Linked DNA regions of Yarrowia lipolytica. The protein of the gene in region 1 interacts with the protein of each later gene in a biochemical or structural test. Links are inferred from orthologs where the notes say so. Each region holds a gene or a part of one and is shown in the gene's direction. Other genes may lie near its edges. The genes, in order: YALI1_C11271g, YALI1_F06830g and YALI1_B16944g.

Evidence for each region.
Region 2: the proteins of YALI1_C11271g (region 1) and YALI1_F06830g form a complex in vitro, tested with the Saccharomyces cerevisiae proteins (3 studies listed by BioGRID, with this or other methods). The link is inferred for Yarrowia lipolytica from reciprocal best matches to the Saccharomyces cerevisiae genes TPK2 and BCY1.
Region 3: the proteins of YALI1_C11271g (region 1) and YALI1_B16944g form a complex in vitro, tested with the Saccharomyces cerevisiae proteins (2 studies listed by BioGRID, with this or other methods). The link is inferred for Yarrowia lipolytica from reciprocal best matches to the Saccharomyces cerevisiae genes TPK2 and SIP5.

Annotation. Positions count from the first base shown.
Region 1 is NC_090772.1:1,125,222-1,128,789, forward strand, and holds YALI1_C11271g (uncharacterized protein), read left to right. Parts: upstream 1-1,943; coding exon 1,944-2,936; downstream 2,937-3,568.
Region 2 is NC_090775.1:681,256-684,699, reverse strand, and holds YALI1_F06830g (uncharacterized protein), read left to right. Parts: upstream 1-1,662; coding exon 1,663-2,853; downstream 2,854-3,444. UniProt on the Saccharomyces cerevisiae protein: Regulatory subunit of the cyclic AMP-dependent protein kinase (PKA), an effector of the Ras/cAMP pathway. Inhibits PKA activity in the absence of cAMP. cAMP activates PKA and promotes growth and proliferation in response to good nutrient conditions.
Region 3 is NC_090771.1:1,692,452-1,696,464, forward strand, and holds YALI1_B16944g (uncharacterized protein), read left to right. Parts: upstream 1-1,962; coding exon 1,963-3,456; downstream 3,457-4,013. Other genes in the region: YALI1_B16922g (uncharacterized protein), read left to right, coding at 1-456. UniProt on the Saccharomyces cerevisiae protein: May negatively regulate the SNF1 kinase by promoting the interaction of the REG1/GLC7 phosphatase complex with the kinase. Deletion of SIP5 promotes resistance to artemisinin, which is probably an indirect effect of an action on the electron transport chain.

The DNA of each region.
Region 1 (3,568 bases):
GTCTCGGAAGATCCCCTCTGCCTTCCGAAGAAAGTTCGGCGATCAAATTGATAATCATTGCATCAACTCTAATCAGATGCACTTGTAGAAATACGACACATAATGGAAGAAAAGTTTTCATATTTGCATGAAGCGGATTAAATGCAGTTAGCAGTACAAGTACAATACCCAGAAGAGAGATTTGTCCAGTTTAAATATCTCTCATATGCACCTTCGGTAGCCGTAGAGCTATGTACATGACACCAAACTCTTAGTAACATGTACCGTTGGACTCCTGAGACTCTGCTGATCCTTTTGGTACCATACATGACCTACTTTTATGAACGTGGAACCAGAGGGAACTACACAGCTCACATCTATCTTGCATCCAATAAACTTACCCTACCTCAGCTAAAGTTGCACTAACAACCGAGGGTGGAAACATGAGAAGCTGTGAACAATGCGACGGTAACCGGAATAGGCAGCAATTAGACCTAGAACTAGCGCGTCTCACATGGTTCTCATGTTCCTAGATTCGCGTCTGCTCCATTTGGTGAAGTTACATGGTGGGCAGATTCCCTAAACGAGATGCTAAGATGCTACGTTGGCTACAAAGACAGTGAACATCATATGATGGTATTAAATTGTTTCCCCGAATCAATCTCTTTCTTCTTATTATGCCCTTGTCTTTGTAGGTCTTGATCGCACCATTCTATGTTCATTCTAAGAGTCCCACTAAAGACGTACTTAACCACCCTCCCAGACTAACTAGAGCGTCGTGAGTGGTGCCAGTACTCTCTTGACCTGGTCTAAGACTCCCGTCAACTTCCTTTTTCATCTCTAGCCCCCTCTCAAACCCCCGAGACAACTACCAGTGGCTACAGGGGTAGTGCGTTGTCTCCGCTTTCGACTAGCTTGGTCAATTATAGGCCAAATCGAAGACTGTTTTTTTCAAGAACAATTCCCACACCTCAGAGAGTCCATTTCTATATCTTTCGTGTAACTACAATCTCTTTCCTCATCCAAATTACTCAGTTTCCGCAAATTTCTCGATTTTCTTGGACTCAAAAGTCAGGTTCGTCATACCAGCCGAGTCCCGCCATTATAATGAGCCAACCAAATCAACCCTGCATACCCCTTGCCTTGAACTGGCAGCTCCAAACCCCGTTTTGGACCGTCTATTCCCCTCCTGGCTGCATGTCGCTTAGATAAGCGGAAGTTTAATGTTTCTCATAATCTCATTCATGCGAGATAACGACAGCGGTTGGAGAGCGCAATTCAGACATAATTGGAGAGAAAAACGTACTTCCAAACTCCTAACTACTCCAAAAAAACCATGCCGCAACTTGTAAATCAATTGCACCAACAAATGTCGATTAAAATACAAAAAGATACCCTAACTCGACAAATACTGAAGCCACCGAAATTTCAAACCCATTATTGAGACCACCCGATCGCCATCAACTCTATGATACCAAATACGCTCCCGTCCATTAGTCATCAGCCATCATTATGTTTTTTCTTTCTTGATTCCGCTTACATAAGCATCGACATATATTAAGGTTTCGGCTGTGAGATGGAGGGTAATGCCTCATTAGCGCCGCTGCAGCGAGCCTCACAAGAGACAGAGAGACAGGGGCAGCGCTCGGATGTCGTCACGTGACTGTTTGGTATGTAAGCCGGCCAAGTCCGGGTTGATTTCTGGCATGTGTCGATCTCCAGCGGCGGCTGGGTCTTGCTGGCCTGTTCCCCCTCAAAATACCCTAACCCTTGGAATTAACCTCTGCAGCAGTGGGACACGCCAGCGCACGATACGTTAGCACGGTGACGATATTGTTTTAGTGACGGGCATTGCAACAGCTACAGACCGATTTTTTTGACATTTGAATTTGAGAGACGAACGTGACACCGCCTCTTGGACGATACGCGACAGTTTACACAAAGGACTTTTCTACACACCACCTATGGCATCTCTACCTAACAGAAGCACGGTTTCCAAGGGCAAGTACTCGTTGACGGACTTCTCCATCCAGCGAACGCTTGGAACGGGTTCGTTCGGCCGGGTGCATCTGGTTCGGTCGGTGCACAACAACCGGTACTACGCCATCAAGGTGCTGAAAAAGGCGCAGATTGTGAAGATGAAGCAGGTGGAGCACACCAACGACGAGCGGCGGATGCTCAAGCTGGTGGAGCACCCATTTCTGATCAGAATGTGGGGGACGTTCCAGGACTCCAAAAACCTGTTCATGGTGATGGACTACGTGGAGGGAGGCGAGCTGTTCTCGCTGCTGCGAAAGAGCCAGCGGTTCCCCAACCCCGTGGCCAAGTTTTATGCGGCAGAAGTCACCCTCGCCCTCGAGTACCTGCACTCCCACAACATCATCTACCGAGACCTCAAGCCCGAAAACATTTTGCTAGACAAGAACGGTCACATCAAAATCACGGACTTTGGGTTCGCCAAAGAGGTCCGCGACGTGACCTGGACGCTGTGTGGCACGCCAGATTACATTGCGCCCGAGGTGGTCACCACAAAGGCGTACAACAAGTCTGTGGACTGGTGGTCGCTCGGAATCCTCATTTATGAAATGCTCACCGGCTACACGCCCTTCTACGACCACACGCCCATGAAGACGTATGAGAACATTCTCATGGGTCATGTGCGGTACCCTTCGTACCTGCATCCGGATGTGACTGATTTGCTGACCAAACTCATCACCAAGGACCTCACCCGACGATATGGTAACCTGCAGGGCGGCCCACAGGACGTGAAGAACCACCCGTGGTTCTCCGAGGTCATTTGGGAGAAGTTGTTGTCCAAGGATATCGAGACTCCGTATGAGCCTCCCATTCAGAGTGGAGTGGGCGACACGTCGTTGTTTGACAGTTACCCGGAGGAGGAGCTGGACTATGGAATTGTATGTCCGGACCCGTATGGAAAGTTGTTTGGCGATTTCTAGACGACCAACAGCCGACGAACGGGAGATTGAATCTGAAGAATGCAGGTTTACTGTTGATCGACTGTTTGTCGCAGTGGGTCCCACCAGTTGTTGTTAACTCGATGACTGTCTTCCAGGAACTGTATGGAACACGAAGCCGTGACTGGTCAGTCTCAACAGCTGGAGCAAAGGTTATGTAAGGAATGTATGTATAGAAGTATTAGGGAGAGGGGGGGGAGTGTTTGGGTCTGATTGCGGTTGTTGGAAATAGATGTTGGATAGATTCAATTGGGGGAGTATTGTGAGTCAATTGCAACTGTTCGTCCCTTGAGACCGATTCCGAACACATTGATGATGGGCGGGATCTGTGACACGACTCCATGGTGTAGTCTGTGACAGTCTGTTGAAGCAACCGTTGTTGTAATGGATACGGGACCGCATGTGTAAGGATCCAGTGTCTGCAACCTTCTGGGGAGGAGATCTCCACTTGTCGGACGTGGTTCTGTCCTCATAGAAGGATCCAACCAGGGTTTTCATCGTCGGTTCACGCTCCATTCTCTGGTTCCTTACTCTGTGGGGACACATCTGTGTATATAAGCGTATCGAGAATCTCACCGGCCACTCCTGGAGATCGAGAGCTCCAGACTCAGTCA
Region 2 (3,444 bases), on another chromosome or scaffold:
AGTTGGGATTGTGGTCATGTGATGGAGACACACAGTGTAGTATGAGCAGGTGTTGACTACAAGTATTGGGGCTATATCGGGTTTTCTCAGCTGTGGAGGTTTCGAGTTGCAATAAAAACTGGACCGATATAATCCTCTTGTTACGGGGATTTCATCCATACCTTTTACACTCGAATCTGACCATTATTCGTCTTTCTGGATTCCTCCTTATTAGCACTGCACCCTAGACCACACTGTCTTTCACTATGTCTGAGAACGTCCCCGCGATATGAAGTTTCTGAGAGAAGCACAAAAAGGAAAATATAAAAATATAAAATTATAAAATATAAAAAATATATAATATAAATTAAATTAAATTAAAATTAAATTAAATTAAATTAAATTAAATTAAATGATGAAAAATCGATTAAACCGAGAGGATATTAATACGACACAACTTCGACACTCGCTCTCCAAACTATGTCCATCGTCAATTATCCATCCTCTTATCCCCCACTTGAGTGGATTAACTAAGAGTGCATACAGTGATGAGATTAATTAAAATATATATACATATACTAAGAAAAAAACCAAAAATGTGATTTTGCACTTCCGCTACTCCCATCGAAATTCTGAAACTATCAATCAAATCCACCGGAGACAAGGATCATTCTAACACCATTCACTCCCCAATTGACCTAATCGAGGTTCTCCTAGATCCCCTATCGCTGAAATGCTGCAACCGTCTGTCCAGTCTACGGTAAAATGCTCCATCCGAAACAACAGATCGCTCCAAATGACCCAAAAGTGACCCAAAAGCCTCGCAGAAACCGCGAAATCCACGCTCCATCACGTGACATATATCACTGCCCTCACAAATACCCTAACCCTGTTCATTCCCGTTCTGGGCCGCTACCCCCAGACCGGCCCCCCTAACCCCCCTCTCTCAGGTCCAGGGTTAGGGTTGCTCCGCATGTATGTATGTACGTAATTCACCCCATGGTTTGAACAACACTATCACCACAACGCACAACAGTGAGTATGACCGGGGTGTTCTTGGAGGTTATGAGCGACATGATGGAGGGCACGTGAGGTTATGAGTGGGTCTGTGGGAGGGAATCACGTGCTCATTCGGCGCGAAACATTGCTCGTTTTCCCCGACCCCTGTCACGATTTGCGCTCATTTCGACATTTCGACGTGGTGGCGACATTGTGGGGGAGAAAAGGTGGTGTTTCGTGCCAATGAGGCAGCTGTTTGGGGTCATGTGACCAGACACAAGTCATGTGACTAGGCTATAGTCACATGACCCCAGCCAGGTCGAATGTGTGGTAATGACCAGACGGAGTGTGGTTGTGTGAAGAGTGGTGGTAGTCGTGGACAGCTTATGAGCAGGTTCGTAGGTTCTGCTGAAAGAGCAGTTTTCAGCTTGTTCATCTGTTATCTGGCTGGAAATGCTACTATTTCGAGGTTCACGGCTCTCTGTCTCTGTCATGTGACTTCACGGTCTGTGGCGGCCATCACTCATGACATTATTAATGGCTTGGTCTATTACACCGTCAGATAGCTCTCTTCCCACTCCCCAGAATTTCTGGTATTGTCTGAGCGTGACTCATTGACTCTGGCCCTAGGATTCTTTGCCTCAGTGACCTGAGCCAAGCTATTCTTATCTAGACGTTTATCTCATGGCAAAGAGGTTGATGGTCATTTCGCAGCCTCGTCGCTCTTTTCGCATTCTTTCTAACCCAGTGACCCTACCCCCCGCTTACGTGGACGAACTCAACCTTCTCAACCGCGAAGTTACCACCAAACAGCCGACCGACATTCTGCGGTTCTGCGCGGACTATTTCAACGAACGGCTGGCCAAACGAGAAGAGGCTGACGACGACGGACCCCGTTCCAAGCCCCTGGGCGGCGGATTCCGAGAGCCTGGCTTCGGCTCCTCTTCCAGAAGCACAGACGGCTCATTGTTCCGGTCCTCGTTTGCCGACACGTCATCAGAGGGCCCCGGCTCTGCCTCTAGTGAGCCTGCTGCGCCCTTCACTCGTCGAACCTCTGTTTCTGCCGAGTCCATTGCTCCCGGTGCCTTTGCCGGTGCTGCCTCCGGCGTCGCCTCCAACAACCTCTCTGCCGAGCAGCTTGAGTCTCTCTACAAGTCTGTGAGCCACAACTTTCTGTTTGGCAATCTTGACGAGGAAGCATGCCGGTCCGTTCTGCAGTCGTTGCAAGAAAAGAAGTGCGACAGCGGCGAAAAGATCATCACCCAGGGCGACGAAGGAGACTACTTTTACATTGTGGAGAGCGGCGCTGTCGAGTTCATCAAGGATGGCGTCAAGGTGAACTCTTCCGGACCCGGCTCTTCGTTTGGAGAGCTCGCCCTCATGTACAACGCTCCCCGAGCAGCCACCGTGGTGGCCACTCAGCCCTGTGTACTGTGGTCGCTGGACCGAGTCACTTTCCGAAAGATTCTGCTAGATGGCACCCATCAGCGACGGTCCATGTACGACGGCTTTCTCAAGGAGGTACCCATTCTCAGCGATCTGGGTTCGTACGAGCGAAACAAGCTTGCCGACGCTCTCACGTCCCAGGTGGTTGAGCCCGGAACTGCCGTCATCACCGAGGGAGAGGCTGGAGACGCCTTTTACCTCGTGGAGAGCGGAGAGGCTGAGGTGACTAAGAAGGGCGAGTCTGGCGTGGTGGCTACTCTTAAGCAGGGTGACTACTTTGGAGAGGTAGCTCTGTTGAACGATCTGCCTCGACAGGCCACCGTGACTGCCAAGACCAAGCTCAAGGTCGCTACTCTTGGTAAGGATGGATTTCAGAGACTGCTGGGTCCTGTCTTGGATCATTTGAAGGAAAATGACCCCACAAAGTAGTGGGACAGTGCGAGCCGCACCTGTTGTGGGCCATCTATTACGGTCTACCTGTTGTGACCACCTGTTATGGACCGCCTGTCGCGTGTAGGATGAGTCCTTCCGTTGGCCAGACTATTGATTCATAAAGGTCTGTATTTTGGATGGATATATAAGTAAGTTATACATTGATTGGAGTACGGTACTGTAAGGTACTTGTAGGGACGGCTCACGGTGTAAAACTGGCTATATCCAAGATAAACCGCACTCGTCACCGGTACATGCTGGTGGAAGACGGAACCGATTCCGTTGGGGTCCAAGTAGTCAGCGTCACATCGACAACAACACTTTCAAACACCGTCCCATTTCTCATCGGCCAGTTTCAAGTCCCTATCAATCATCCATGGCATCACTTTCTGCCGGCTTTATTGGTCATAATCTGGTGACTTGGCTACATGGTTAGTTGCGTGTCGTCTCCAGGTCAGTGTGAAACCGAGCATGACACTTCGACAGGGTATCCTATCGCATCCTGATAAGTCAAGACCGATTTGTAGGCTTCCAGGGGACCTTCGAGCTTTCCTCGTCAGAGTTGGTGTATCTTTTCGTGGGTAAGGA
Region 3 (4,013 bases), on another chromosome or scaffold:
CACATCGAGCACATTGACAACACTCACGACATTGGGTACGAAGTGGAATATGTCGAATTTGCTGAAGAGGTATCTGAGATCTCTCTCTCTGATTCTGAAACGGAACGCTCTTCGGTATGTTCTATGCCAGAGACGTGTGCCACTTCTGTTTCCGATCTCGACGACGATTACATGAGCGCAGAGACCGTGGCTGAACTGGCTAACAACAAGAACAAGCTTGTGGTTGTTATCGATAGCGCCGTATACGATCTGAGCGACTACAAGGCACAAAACGGACTAGTGCAAATGGTGCTGAAGTCTCTGAATGGCACAGACGCTTCGTGGCAGTTCTGGAGAATGAACACCCGACAGCAATGGGAGGAGATTCAGAAGTTTCGAATCGGAGTGTCAACAGGAGTCCCCACCAAGTACAGCCCGCCTCGAGAGCGCTTCTTCTCTCTAAGAAGAGTCTACTGATCATTTTTTTGACAGGTGTGGAGAAGACGGACAGGACGAGGAGAAGCATTAGACGAACTGGAGTCGTCACACTAACATATTTATAGCATGCATTACCAATCACACATAACCAAGAGGCAGTAGGCTAAGTATTCCAGTAGGTGCCTGTCGGGAGTAGTCGGAGGTTTAGGGGGGATGTACTGTACAAGTATCAGTACTCTCAGTCGAAAGTATGGCTACAATAGTTGATAAACAGCTCACAGAATGTAATTATGCCAGCTAAATATACCAACTATCAAAAGACTGTGCTTTGTAATGCTCATAATTATACTTGGGGGTCTTAAGTACACACATTTATTGCCTGTTGTCTCTACACGGCAACCCAAGTGAAACATGTTTCAGTGACAACGGCGAGCAAAGAACGGCTTTACAGCAAAGCAATCATAAAGGGGAGTTTGCGACACATAACAGACTCACCAAAATGAGTGTGGAAGCCTCACAGACGTCCAATGCGACATTACTTACTGAGCCATATTAGCTAGTCCTAAATATGATTGGGGTGAGAGGAGAAATAATGTGTGTACAGGTATGCTCACTTGAGTAAGGGAACTACAACCACGGCCCATCCGTGCTCAGCCACTTGTTCACGATAACTGCGCAGGCAACATATGCTCATACCCCTCCCCCACTTCACATGAAAAACCGGTGTCAGTGTCCTGGCAAAAGTTAGCCTCGGCGACCAGGGTCGCCTGCCTACCGATGTTATGCAGCAGGTTATCATTGTTATCGGTGTTATCGGTGTTATCGGGACTATCTGCGGTCACGGGCATATGTGTGGCCGATATTCCGACAGTGCACCAGCTTGCGAGCCGCGGCTTTTTCGGCTAGCGCAATTTATGGGGCTTTTCCTTTTAGAGCCCTTCCATGTGGTTTGACACCTTTGCAACCGCCGTTGTCCTTGCACCAGTAGCCGTTTTTGTCCATTCGAAATAGACTATGAGAGAGCGAGGCATTGGGAGAGTCAAGGCAATGGAGGGGGGAGCCGTTTCGTCGAGGACTGAGCTATGTACTGTAGCACCTCAACAGAAGTACGAGAACATAACATACTTAGAATGTTGGTACAATATACAGAACACTGCTACAGGAAACACCCATTATATATAACTTTTTTTCTTTTGGTAGATACACAGATATCACACAGAGACAGACACTCACAACGTTTGCACCCAATAACTTGCTCCGCCAACATGACAACACATGTCAAATGCATAGTATGATTGGTAACATGAGTGTAGAAACGAATACAACTACCGGTAGAGGTCTGTTGATGACAAAAAAATATATATTTACAGGCAAACCACATCGCAAATACCTTTTAGTCTGGTTACTATCACGTCCAAAACAGCCTCCAAGACTCGCTACACCCCCACCCCGCACGTGACCCTAACCCAAGATAAGCGCGCAACCAAACCTACACACCAGACTAAATATCGGACTCTCAAGACTCGTCTACACAGTCACTCTACCATGGGAAACGTTCCGGGAAAAGAACAGCAGGTGCGCAACGCACGGTCCGTTTCTGAGGACTACCACCGCGAAGGCCAGGTCAGATCCAAGAGGCCCTCTGCGCCTCGAGAAAAAAAGCGGGAGCCAAGAGTCTTTGTAGACCCCAATGAACAAGTGGATGGTGGCTATCTGGTGCCTCAGGGAGTCTACACCGGACCACAGGATTTCGACATTCTTGTTGTCAAGAGCCTGATGACTAGTCGCAAGCTTGCACCGTTTTTCAAGGGTCTACAGGACTATGAGGAGGAATGGACTGATCATCAACTTATGGCTGCCATTAGGGGCTTTCCTATCCCCAGTGCAGCATCAGAATCGCCTACAACCGAATCTACAGACACAAAAGACGCTTCAGCTTCCACCTCAACCCCTCACGCAATTTCCACACCTTCACATCTGTCGCCACCTACAGCTCCTCCTCAGGTGGCCATCTCGCCTCCCCGACACACTTTGTCATCGAACAACCCGTTCAGAGACCCGTTGGAGCATATGTCGCATCTGAGAATCGATCTGGACAACACCACGTTTTCCCAGAGCGCCCCAACACCGTCGTGGATGCGTTCCGGAGAACCCGATCAGGAGGACGGGGACGAACTCATAAACCCAGGCATTCTACAGTCCCCACCAAGCAGGGAGGCTCCCAAGCCACCACCCTCACGACAACGGGCCAAAACGCTCACCAACAAAGAGCCCCCGCTTATGGTCAAAATCTACAGAGACCCCATCGAGTGTCCCATTTGTTTTCTGTACTACCCAAACTCGCTCAACATGACCCGATGCTGTGCCCAGCCCATTTGCTCCGAGTGTTTTGTGCAAATGAAGCGAGCTGAACCTCATCCTCGACATGACGAGCCTGAACCTGACACGTTGCTGGGACAGCTGGATCTCATCTCCGAGCCCACAGCCTGTCCCTACTGTGCTATGTCCGACTTTGGAGTAGTGTATTCGCCTCGACACGGCCCCGGAGCCAAGGCTGCAGGAGCCAACAGTGCTGATGCCGCTGCAGCCAAAGGGAACGGTGACGAGTCTGCTATTGATGATTCGGGAGACTCATCAGACGGCATTGACACCACCAACATGGACGATGTGGCTGACAAGCTAATGCACATGTCCGGTGCAAAGCGTCGATCGTCCATCAGTGTCACCAACCCCAACGTCGTGACCGTTGATCGTGTGCGACCCGACTGGTCAAAGACGCTGGCTGCTGCTCGAGCTAGAGCTGCACGAAAGGCTGCTACTGCCAACGCTCTTCATGCCACGGCTTTTGTGGAAGGAGGCAATGGGGAGGTGGCTGGATCATCTAGATCATCGCGACGAACCCGCCAAAACCACGAACAACGGCAGGCTGCCCGTGCTCAGGAGTTGGAGCAGATCATGCTCTCAGAGGCTATGCGTCTAAGTATGCTGGAGAGCCAAGAGGCGGAAGAGAAGCGCTCCAGGGAGCAGGAGAGCAAGTAGGAAGCAAGAGTCAGGTAAAAGCGTTTGAAAAAGTCTGCCACCAAGAGCAACTTTTCCACAACCAACGAATAGATATTTATATGCATAGCGTCGAGAGTTGTAGAGAGGGTTGTAGACAGACACTAGCAGTGGAAATAAGCCAATTGCGTGTATGAGATGGTATCTGAAGGCACGATACATTATCCAATTATACAGTATTAACACATTACAATACAGTATGAGTAGCTACAATGTACGACGATACAGCTACTGTAGATGAGTTTAATGTTTATTGTAGCTACTTAGACCTTTCTATTAGCAGACAGTATCCAGTTGAGCTATGTAACCAAAAGGATTCTGCCTCGTCATATATCCTCAATACCGGATAAGTAGCAACCTGGCAATCAGGGGCCTACTACGTCGCCAAGGATCTACACTCTAGCCGCCGTAATTAATGCACTGCAGGGTCTGCAGAATGTCTTGTCTCAATTTGTGGTGCCTGCTTGAAGTGGGGTCGTATGTATATGGTACCTTGAGGGGAGATAACGTGAGACAGAAGAGTGGAAGGCGGTCTATAA